Xenopus tropicalis: one gene and its partner. The protein of the gene in region 2 interacts with the protein of the main gene of each other region in a biochemical or structural test. Links are inferred from orthologs where the notes say so. Each region holds a gene or a part of one and is shown on either strand. Other genes may lie near its edges.

Region 1 (6,192 bases), about 140 Mb from region 2:
TTTTCCACACACCCCCGTGCATGTAGGTGTAACTGCCCCATGTAGTTCATCTTCCTTCCCCACCACCATGCTGTGGGAGGGGAGGAGGGCACTTGGTAAGCCATGGGGGTAGACCTGGATGGAGGGCTGCTAAATGCTGGTCGATGCCACATTCAGAACATTTAACAATTAGTGATGAGTGAATCTGTCCCATTTAATAGGCAACATTTTTTATGAGCAACTTTTTTTCTTACTCCATGTTTTTTAAGGTCCAACAATAAAGAATGGATTATGGATTTTTAATTCATATCATTTGGAGGTGTGGCTTATGTTGTGCTTAATGTACGCGGGGCCGACCCCTGTGAATATACGGACTGTGACAGAGGGGGGACGGACAGACACATACATAATATATAGAATAAGCCCATCCCTGCTCAAAGCAATATGACTTGGCACCACTAGATGGCAGCACTGTACTATAAATTAAAGGGGCAGTATCCCTCTAATACACCTTTCCTAGCAACGGGCACAATAAAAATGTTGAAATTACATTCTGCTTATTGTTTTAATCAAAAAAAAAATTTGGTTTCCCCCCCGCGGTGGGGGGGGTTGGATGGGGCAATGACCAGGGGTGGTCTCGGGGCGCCCAGTTTGGAAATCCGGCCCTGAACATTGTGCTATATGACATTAACCCCTACCGGTATTTTATAAACAGGGAAAATGGTTCGGAGCCCCCCTTCTACCTTTAACCCAACAAACCTCTCTCTTATCTAAGCAGCAGCCTTTCGAGCAGCTCATTATCGGGGCTTCTCAGTGGACTGGGAATTCGTTTTATTAGTTCCTTTGCAAGTTCTGTGGGACAGGGAGTGACAGGAAGTGCTAAAGAGAAAAGACCCAAGGGGACCAAAACTGAATCACAGATACAATTGGTTTAACCCAGGCAATGGAACTTTCCAAAAACACTGGGTGGGGGGGGGGGGCAATTAATAATGCTTAGGGCATAATTTGGCCTCATATTGTGTGAAATAAGATGAGATTGTATAACAGGGGCAGGGGTGCTGGAGTCTAACAGGGATATATTTATTATAGTGTGTAACCATCCCCAGGGATGCTGCCCATAGCAACCAATCAGATCTTTGTTTTTGTTTAATAACTTGACTGTTCAATTCTAATTGCTGATTGGTTGCTATGGGCAAGCTCTCCAGTGATGTTTGCTTACATACTATAAAAACTGTGCCCCTGGACCAATCACAGAGCTGCCCAAATGTAACGGTGCTAGCGACCCAGTAACTAAGCAACTAGGGCTAAAACATTACGCAAAGCAGAGTTGATTAACTTGCAGTATGCACAATATAGATAAGGCTGCAAGGGCCAATAGGATGCACCGACTGCGGGGTTGCCAGAATTCTGCCAGTCAGGTCTAAAACCAGCCCAAAACTAGCCAAAAGCCACTTTGAAAGTAGCCCAAAAATAGCCCAATGTGCGCAATGAAAAACAATTCTAAATTCCAAAGCAGGCTGTAGACAGGTTGAGCCTGAATAGAATAGAAATGGGAGCCTCTGTCTATACTGTCCAACTGCATCCTGGGTATTGTAGTTTTATATTAATCCGAGCTGTAGGCTAATTGTTAGATACAAACTACATTACCCAGCATGCAGTGGGACAGGCATACTAGGTTCCAAACTACAAACCCGCCAAGGCTCCAAAAAATAGCCTAAACTGTACTTTGGCGGGTTTGTACTTTGGAAACCTGCAGGGGCTGTAAATTAGTAGCCCAATTTGGTGGGAAAACCGCCATCCCTGACTGACTGGCACTGTGCGCGGCTTTCCCAGTTAATAGGTAGGCGCCGTGATAAGCACTCGCCCTCAACAAACATGGCGGCGCCAGCGGTTTTGTAGCAAACGGAACTTCCCAAATGAAAGATGGCGGGCGGAAGGCAGGGCCTATAGGCAGAGCTTGGGAGTCAGCTGACAGTGCGCTTCCTGTCGGGGTGAGGATGGAGGCCGTGCTGTCCGATCCGGTGGATACGGGGGATCTGTTGGTAAGGGGGGGGGTGTCTGTCCGACTGGTGTCTCACAGGGGTTTCCTGTCTCACTGTGGGAAGCCGCCCTGTCACTGTGTCCCCTGGGCCTGAACTCGCCCTGTCAGACTGGCTCATATTGATGATGTCATAGCCCCGGGGCGTGCGTGTAAGTGACGTTACTTTCGTTACTTTGTGGGGCATGACGTCATGGGAAGGGAACTCAGTTTGTGGCTGATTTTATACTGTGTGTGTGGGAAGGTGTCACAGCTTGGAATTGTTCTTGTGTTTGTGCGTGATGTCACGGGGGGCTGGGTGCCTGTGGGTGATGTCACAGGGGGGCTGGGTGCCTGTGGGTGATGTCACAGGGGGGCTGGGTGCCTGTGGGTGATGTCACAGGGGGGCTGGGTGCCTGTGGGTGATGTCACAGGGGGCTGGGTGCCTGTGGGTGATGTCACAGGGGGGGTGGGTGCCTGTGGGTGATGTCACAGGGGGGCTGGGTGCCTGTGCGTGATGTCGCGGGGGGTGGGTGCCTGTGGGTGATGTCACAGGGGGGGTGGGTGCCTGTGGGTGATGTCACAGCGGGGCTGGGTGCCTGTGGGTGATGTCAGGGGGGGCTGGGTGCCTGTGGGTGATGTCACAGGGGGGCTGGGTGCCTGTGGGTGATGTCAGGGGGGGCTGGGTGCCTGTGGGTGATGTCACAGGGGGGTGGGTGCCTGTGGGTGATGTCACAGCGGGGCTGGGTGCCTGTGGGTGATGTCACAGGGGGGGTGGGTGCCTGTGGGTGATGTCACAGGGGGGCTGGGTGCCTGTGGGTGATGTCAGGGGGGGCTGGGTGCCTGTGGGTGATGTCAGGGGGGGCTGGGTGCCTGTGGGTGATGTGTCAGGGGGGGCTGGGTGCCTGTGGGTGATGTCACAGGGGGGGCTGGGTGCCTGTGGGTGATGTCACAGGGGGGGCTGGGTGCCTGTGGGTGATGTCACAGGGGGGGCTGGGTGCCTGGGGGTGATGTCAGGGGGGGCTGGGTGCCTGGGGGTGATGTCAGGGGGGGCTGGGTGCCTGGGGGTGATGTCACAGGGGGGGGCTGGGTGCCTGTGGGTGATGTCACAGGGGGGGCTGGGTGCCTATACACACAGGGGCAGAGGGGCACTCACACTATAACAACAGAAGGCTCAGTGACTGTTAGAGGCCCCGCCCCCGCATGTCCCACTGTTGAATTCCCACCCTTACATTGGCTGATTTGATACCAACCTTGCCAACCATTCATATCTGTACGTGTAGCAACGGCGCCATTTTGCCAACCACTGACATCACAACTCAGCGTGTCCCTACCAATCAGATATGGGTGCCACCCAGCCAATCACAGACGTGCGTCCCGCAGCTCTGCTCCTGCCCTGTTACTGGGGATCTGGCTCAGAGCTCATTACAGCAAATGCTTTATAACCTTGCCAACCATTACATGTCCCCTGCAGGGCACCATCACCTTGCCAACCATTACATGTCCCCTGCAGGGCACCACCATCTTGCCAACCATTACATGTCCCCTGCAGGGCACCATCACCTTGCCAACCATTACATGTCCCCTGCAGGGCACCATCACCTTGCCAACCATTACATGTCCCCTGCAGGGCACCACCATCTTGCCAACCATTACATGTCCCCTGCAGGGCACCACCACCTTGCCAACCATTACATGTCCCCTGCAGGGCACCATCACCTTGCCAACCATTACATGTCCCCTGCAGGGCACCACCACCTTGCCAACCATTACATGTCCCCTGCAGGGCACCATCACCTTGCCAACCATTACATGTCCCCTGCAGGGCACCATCTTGCCAACCATTACATGTCCCCTGCAGGGCACCATCACCTTGCCAACCATTACATGTCCCCTGCAGGGCACCATCACCTTGCCAACCATTACATGTCCCCTGCAGGGCACCATCACTTTGCCAACCATTACATGTCCCCTGCAGGGCACCATCACCTTGCCAACCATTACATGTCCCCTGCAGGGCACCATCACCTTGCCAACCATTACATGTCCCCTGCAGGGCACCATCACCTTGCCAACCATTACATGTCCCCTACAGGGCACCATCACCTTGCCAACCATTACATGTCCCCTGCAGGGCACCATCACCTTGCCAACCATTACATGTCCCCTGCAGGGCACCATCTTGCCAACCATTACATGTCCCCTGCAGGGCACCATCACCTTGCCAACCATTACATGTCCCCTGCAGGGCACCATCACCTTGCCAACCATTACATGTCCCCTGCAGGGCACCACCACCTTGCCAACCATTACATGTCCCCTGCAGGGCACCATCACCTTGCCAACCATTACATGTCCCCTGCAGGGCACCACCATCTTGCCAACCATTACATGTCCCCTGCAGGGCACCATCACCTTGCCAACCATTACATGTCCCCTGCAGGGCACCACCACCTTGCCAACCATTACATGTCCCCTGCAGGGCACCATCACCTTGCCAACCATTACATGTCCCCTGCAGGGCACCATCTTGCCAACCATTACATGTCCCCTGCAGGGCACCATCACCTTGCCAACCATTACATGTCCCCTGCAGGGCACCATCACCTTGCCAACCATTACATGTCCCCTGCAGGGCACCACCATCTTGCCAACCATTACATGTCCCCTGCAGGGCACCATCACCTTGCCAACCATTACATGTCCCCTGCAGGGCACCACCACCTTGCCAACCATTACATGTCCCCTGCAGGGCACCATCACCTTGCCAACCATTACATGTCCCCTGCAGGGCACCATCACCTTGCCAACCATTACATGTCCCCTGCAGGGCACCATCACCTTGCCAACCATTACATGTCCCCTGCAGGGCACCATCACCTTGCCAACCATTACATGTCCCCTGCAGGGCACCATCACTTTGCCAACCATTACATGTCCCCTGCAGGGCACCATCACCTTGCCAACCATTACATGTCCCCTGCAGGGCACCATCACCTTGCCAACCATTACATGTCCCCTACAGGGCACCATCACCTTGCCAACCATTACATGTCCCCTGCAGGGCACCATCACCTTGCCAACCATTACATGTCCCCTGCAGGGCACCATCTTGCCAACCATTACATGTCCCCTGCAGGGCACCATCACCTTGCCAACCATTACATGTCCCCTGCAGGGCACCATCACCATGCCAACCTTTACATGTCCCCTGCAGGGCACCATCTTGCCAACCATTACATGTCCCCTGCAGGGCACCATCATCTTGCCAACCATTACATGTCCCCTGCAGGGCACCATCACCTTGCCAACCATTACATGTCCCCTGCAGGGCACCATCACCTTGCCAACCATTACATGTCCCCTGCAGGGCACCATCACCTTGCCAACCATTACATGTCCCCTGCTGGGCACCATCACCTTGCCAACCATTACATGTCCCCTGCAGGGCACCATCTTGCCAACCATTACATGTCCCCTGCAGGGCACCATCATCTTGCCAACCATTACATGTCCCCTGCAGGGCACCATCACCTTGCCAACCTTTACATGTCCCCTGCAGGGCACCATCTTGCCAACCTTTACATGTCCCCTGCTGGGCACCATCTTGCCAACCATTACATGTCCCCTGCAGGGCACCATCACCTTGCCAACCATTACATGTCCCCTGCAGGGCACCATCACCTTGCCAACCATTACATGTCCCCTGCAGGGCACCATCACCTTGCCAACCATTACATGTCCCCTGCTGGGCACCATCACCTTGCCAACCATTACATGTCCCCTGCAGGGCACCATCACCTTGCCAACCATTACATGTCCCCTGCAGGGCACCATCACCTTGCCAACCATTACATGTCCCCTGCTGGGCACCATCACCTTGCCAACCATTACATGTCCCCTGCAGGGCACCATCACCTTGCCAACCATTACATGTCCCCTGCTGGGCACCATCACCTTGCCAACCATTACATGTCCCCTGCTGGGCACCATCACCTTGCCAACCATTACATGTCCCCTGCTGGGCACCATCACCTTGCCAACCAAGTACAGGACATTATAACAAATTTTTGTCACCTTTAAATAGTTTTGGGGATGGGGGGGGGTTGCCTCTCCCCGTGTGACTAGTGGGCCAGTCGTGTGACTAGTGGGCCAGTCCAAGAGAACTCACTGTACTCCAGGGAATGGTGTAGGGC
Region 2 (5,714 bases):
ACTTTTAGTATGATGCAGAGGGATATTCTGAGACAGTTTGCAATTGGTCTTCATTTTTGTATTATTTGTGGTTTTTAAATTGATTTTAATATTTGTTCAGCAACTCTTCAGTTTGGAATTTGTAGCTGTTATCTGGTTGCCAGGGTCCAAATGACCTTAGCAACCAGCAATGTGAGACTGGTATATGAAAAGGAGGAGGGGCTGAATAGAAAGATAAGGAATAAAAAGTAACAATAACAATAAAACTGGAGCCTCACAGAGCAATAGGTTTTGGCTGCCGGGGTCAGTCATCCTGTTGCTAGGGCTCAAATTACCTTAGCAACCAGGGAGTGATTGGAATAAGAGACGGGTAGATGAATAGGGGAGGGGCTGAATAGAAAGATAAGGAATAAAAAGTAACAATAACAATAAAACTGGAGCCTCACAGAGCAATAGGGTTTGGCTGCCGGGGTCAGTTATCCTGTTGCTAGGGCTCAAATTACCTTTGCAACCAGGGAGTTGATTGGATGAGAGCCAGGAATATGAATAGGGGAGGGGCTGAATAGAAAGATAAGGAATAAAAAGTAACAATAACAATAAAACTGGAGCCTCACAGAGCAATAGGTTTTGGCTGCCGGGGGTCAGTTATCCTGTTGCTAGGGCTCAAATTACCTTAGCAACCAGGGAGTGGTGTGAATGAGAGACAGGAATATGAATAGAGGAGGGGCTGAATAGAAAGATAAGGAATAAAAAGTAACAATAACAATAAAACTGGAGCCTCACAGAGCAATAGGGTTTGGCTGCCGGGGTCAGTTATCCTGTTGCTAGGGCTCAAATTACCTTAGCAACCAGGGAGTGGTGTGAATGAGAGACAGGAATATGAATAGAGGAGGGGCTGAATAGAAAGATAAGGAATAAAAAGTAACAATAACAATAAAACTGGAGCCTCACAGAGCAATAGGGTTTGGCTGCCGGGGTCAGTGACCCCCATTTGAAAGCTGCAAAGAGTCAGAAGGAGGCAAATAATTCAAAAACTATACAAAATAAGTAATGAAGACCAATTGAAAAGTTGCTTAGAATTGGCAGTTTTACTACATAGTTAAGTAATTTAATGGTAACCCCCCCCCCCCCGACCTTTACATATATAGGTCATTCTTATTGGTGCAAAAAAGTCCAGCTGCAGACTTAAGGTATGGAGATCCTACTTATGGAAAGCCCCCTTATCCAGAACAGCCCCCAGGTACCGAGCATTCTGGGTAATAAGTTCCATTACTGTACTGGGGTATGAAACCCTGAATGCACTTACCTCTATATTGTTATTCATCAGCCCGCAGGCATCGGCAAAGTCCGGGTGTTTGGTGTTGATGTAGGCGAGTTCGATGGCCACCAAGTTATGTACCTGCACGCCAACAACCGGGTGTCATAAGGGGTTAAAAATCTGCAAAAGGGCATCGGGGTAGAAGGTGCAGTGGGCAAAGGGCGAGCGCTTCGTCTCTTACCATCTCATTAGTAACCGGCAGTCGCTTCCGCAGGAGACTCGTAACCACCTCGACTATGGCATCGTGAAGCTTCGGGAACCTCAGCAGCTCCTGAAAGGTGAATAACATGGCGGCTACAGACCCCGTTCTATTGATAATGATTTCTATTGGACGACCTAGAGCAGGGGTCCCCAAACTACGGCCTGTGTGACGCACTGGGGCTGAGGGCCGCGCTGAGGCAGAGAGGTAGTAGCCAGGGGTGAGGACACAGTGGGGAGCAGGGGGGCTGTAGTTTGAGGACTAACTATAGTCTGGCCCCCCAACAGTCTGTGGCCCCCTGTTTAAAAATGTTGACGATCCCCGACCTAGAGAGTCATGTGTGGAACCAATTTATGAGACCTGGACCCGACCCGGACATGCCGACTAGTACTGTGTGGGCCGGCCAGACACCTACGGGGGGGGGGTTCGGGACAACCTCGGCACATCACTTGCGGGTGGGTTTGGGTTGAGCTCTGCCAGCTGCCTTTTTCCAGCTTCTGAATTTATAGGCACGCCCCTTTTGTGACATCATTGCAGGCGGGGGCGGGTCTATAAAAACAGGGCAGAAGCTGGGTAGGGTTCGGGTTGGGAGCAGATGGGTTACGATTGGGTGTGGGTCAACCAGCACATCACTAATACAGACCCATAACTAGGGATGCACCGAACCCCACTTTTTTGGGTTCGGCCAAACCCCAAAACCCACCCAGAAGGATTTGGCCAGAAGTGACATCATCAAAAATGGGCAATGGCAGAAAAAAAAAAAAATATAGATAATATGGGTAAAGGTCCCCATACACGGGCTGATAGTAGCTGCCGATATGGGTCCCTTGGACCAATTCGACAGCTAATCGGCCCGTGTATGGGCACTACCGTCAGGCCTGTCCGACATCGGGGCCAAATCTCGATCGGGCAGGTTAGAAAATCTAGTCGTATCGGGGACCGCATCGTCTCGTTGATGTGGCCCCTGGACCAACTTTACCTATACCCGTCGTTATAATTGTTTATAGTTTGACCCTCGATTCTCCCGATATTGCCCACCCATAGGTGGGGGATATCGGGAGAAGATCCGCTCGCTTGGCGACCTTAAGACTCAGAACCTACCAACCAGCATCTATACCCACATCTGAATATCCTACCCGGAACCTGCAGGGTACCCGCCAGTGCCCGACCATCAGCAGGACACTGAGCACCTGTAATCGAACGCCCCTACAATGTGACATTGTGTTGTAGAAAGCCGAGCGTTGCTACCTGCGTGCTGTAGTTACTGCAGTGCTGGATTATCCTCTGCATCTCCTCATGGACCAGCTCCACGCAGCGCAAACTCGGCTCCTCCAGCCGTTTCACCTGTCTCTTCACCAGCAGCTCGAAGGAGACCTCCGGCACAAACAAGGCCGGCCGGGGGCCCTATACACAGAGACAAAACAGGAAATGGTTACCCCCAAAGCCATTGGCACCCCCCGATAAAGCGATAATCGCCGGGCAAACGGCTCACCGTTGCGTTTCTAATGGCCGTAAGGATATCGATGGTGGTGAGGCCGCCCAGCGGGTCTACGGATTCCAGCGTCCTTCCGAACGTCTCGTGGAAGATGTAGCAGATGCGAGCCCCTCCGCACCTGTTTATATGCAAAGCGATAGCTCAAGGGGGTCTTGCCGTGAATGGGTTAAAATGGGAAGTGGCTTTGAAGCACAACTACATTGTATAAATGAATCAGTGAAAGCAAAAATGACCTGGATATTAAGAATATCTCCTTCATACAGGCCCCACCCACTTATCATTCAAGGATAAGTAAACTTTAAATCCCTAAAATAAATCTCTAAAATAACGAAATAACTAGAATAACTCACCTTAATCCCCACACAGATTCAATTTGTTGCTCTATTACAAGCGGCTGGACCGCAGCTCTTTTAGTTACTTCCGTGTCTAGCGTGAATCTCCGCACCTTTTGCTTTCTGAGCCCTGCTTCTCTCTCTCCTACTAAAGGTCCCCCATACACGTGAAGATTCGCTCGCTTGGCGAGATTGCCAAGTGAGCGGATCTTCACCCGATATCCCCACCTACGGGTGGGCGATATCGGGGAATGTGTAGGCTAATTCGGTCATTTGGCCCTGGGGCCAAACGATCGAATTATATTGGCGGCAATGGGGCAGTCGCTTCGGGGACTGCATCAACAAGCCGACGCGTTCCCCAATCCGACTGAATCTTTTAACATGCCCGATCGATATCTGGCCAATTTTAGGCCAGATATTGGTCGGGCATGGCCTTCGTTTCTGCCCCTACACGGGCCGATAAGATGCCGAATCAGTCCAAGGGACCAATATCGGCAGCTACAATCGGCCCGTGTATGGGGACCTCAAGACCCCACAGAGGTGCCTATTGCGTATGCCTGATTGATTTTAACTTGACCAAAGGCAGCAAGCATGCTCAGTAGGCACCTCTTTGGGGGTCTTAGTTGGAGAGAGAAGGAGGGATCAGAAAGCAAAAGGGGTGGAGATTCACGCTAGACATGGAAGTAACTAAACCACCCTCCAATGATTGTAACTTACTTACCCCGCCCCCACACTACTTACAGTTCAGAGGTTTCTATGTATTTTGCTGTTCCTTCGATGGTGTTGCAATACTCTGTGGCAAACTTAGTAATGAGCTGCAGTAACGTGGCGCTCTTGTCTTCCACGGGTTCCCCGTAGCTGTTCAGCAGGGACTGGTACTGGGCGGCCAGGACGTTGATTCTGGTCTTCAGCTCCGGCAGACAGTCGCGGATGTGGTGCATCAGTAGCCTACAGACACGGCATATACATATGGGGCATTTTATCCTCTTGCTGCCAACATATAGTTGTACCGAGTAATACCTCCCAGATTCCATTGCTGTTACCCAGAGCAGGCATTAAAGGGGTGGTTCACCTTTAAAGACAAACTGCAATTGGTCTTCATTTTTTATTATTTGCCGTTTTAGAAATATTTAGCTTTTTATTCAGCAGCTCTCCAGTTTGGAATTTCAAGCAGCTATCAGGTTGCTAGGGTCCAATTTTACCTAGCAACCAGGCAGTGGCTTGAATTAGACACGGGAATATGGATAGAGGAAGGCCTAAATATAAAATAAGTGACAATAAAACTGTAGGAATAGGTTTTTGGCTGCCGGGGTCAGTGACTCCCATTTGAGAGCAGGAAAGAGGCAGAAGAGGAAGGAAAAGAATTCAAAAACTATAAAGAATGAAAAATAAAGACCAATTGAAAACTTGCTAAGAAGAGGCCATTCTGTAATATACTAAAAGTTAACCTAATGGTGGCCATTTTGGAAGGAAGCGTTACCTGTTAAGAGTCCGTGCAAGATATTTGGTTCCGTTCCTGTTTGCCAGGGAGGGGTATTTCTTCTGCAGGAACCCGTACTCATCCCGGATAGAGTCGGCCACGCTCTTTTTGTTATTAATGTCCAACTGGCTCCTTTGAATTAGAAATCAATAATTAGGGTTCTCACCATATGAAGCTATTGCCTTTCTCCAGCCAATAGCTCAGCCCCATTCCGAGAAATAAATGGCGACTGGCTCTCATTATATGGGGTGCAATCCATAGCAACCAATCGGAAATTCTCTTTTTTTTCAGCCAGCTGCAGGTAAAACCATGAATGCAGCAATTTGATTGGTTGCCACGGGTTACTGCCCATGGGTAATCGTGCTTAGTGTTGATAAATGACCCCCAATAACCCTTTAGATCTGTGCTGCCCAAGCTGCGACCATGCCATTGTATATGGTAAAAAGGTAACGGATCTGGATACCTGTTGACCACTCCGATGATGCCAAGTTTGACCGGGATGACCCGTCCCAGAAGCACATCCATAGCGTCCGTCCCTGCGTCCATCAGGTCCAGCTTGGTTATGACGGCGAGAGTCCTGCGACCTGGATAAATGGGATCGGGGAAAATTTAGGAACATGTGACCAGGGAAGCCATTATGGCGGACAGTGTTAAAGGGAAACTATACCCCCAAAATGAATACTTAACCAACAGCTGAAGTGTGGAAGCAAAAAACAGAACTCTGCCCATACATTGGCTGATGTGGCCCCTAGCACCCCAGGGGGTGGCCCTTAATTCTTAAAATGGTCATTTTCTATTTAGGATTACCCAGTAGCATTTCTGGTCATGATCACATGGTTTCTACCCAGAAAAGAGGTGACTTACCGTCAGGGTCACTTTCCCGCGCGATCTTAAGAGCCTCTGAAGTTGCC

The links. The genes of interacting proteins can lie anywhere in the genome.
Region 1: the proteins of dnm1l (region 2) and fis1 form a complex in vitro, tested with the Homo sapiens proteins (2 studies listed by BioGRID). The link is inferred for Xenopus tropicalis from reciprocal best matches to the Homo sapiens genes DNM1L and FIS1.

The regions. Positions count from the first base shown.
Region 1 is NC_030679.2:148,612,242-148,618,433, reverse strand, and holds the start of fis1 (mitochondrial fission 1 protein), read left to right. Parts: upstream 1-1,973; 5' UTR 1,974-1,976; coding exon 1,977-2,021; intron 2,022-6,192. UniProt on the Homo sapiens protein: Involved in the fragmentation of the mitochondrial network and its perinuclear clustering. Plays a minor role in the recruitment and association of the fission mediator dynamin-related protein 1 (DNM1L) to the mitochondrial surface and mitochondrial fission.
Region 2 is NC_030679.2:4,784,371-4,790,084, forward strand, and holds part of dnm1l (dynamin-1-like protein), read right to left. Parts: coding exon 5,668-5,714; intron 5,388-5,667; coding exon 5,267-5,387; intron 4,936-5,266; coding exon 4,804-4,935; intron 4,272-4,803; coding exon 4,065-4,271; intron 3,110-4,064; coding exon 2,989-3,109; intron 2,901-2,988; coding exon 2,745-2,900; intron 1,569-2,744; coding exon 1,479-1,568; intron 1,379-1,478; coding exon 1,286-1,378; intron 1-1,285. UniProt on the Homo sapiens protein: Functions in mitochondrial and peroxisomal division.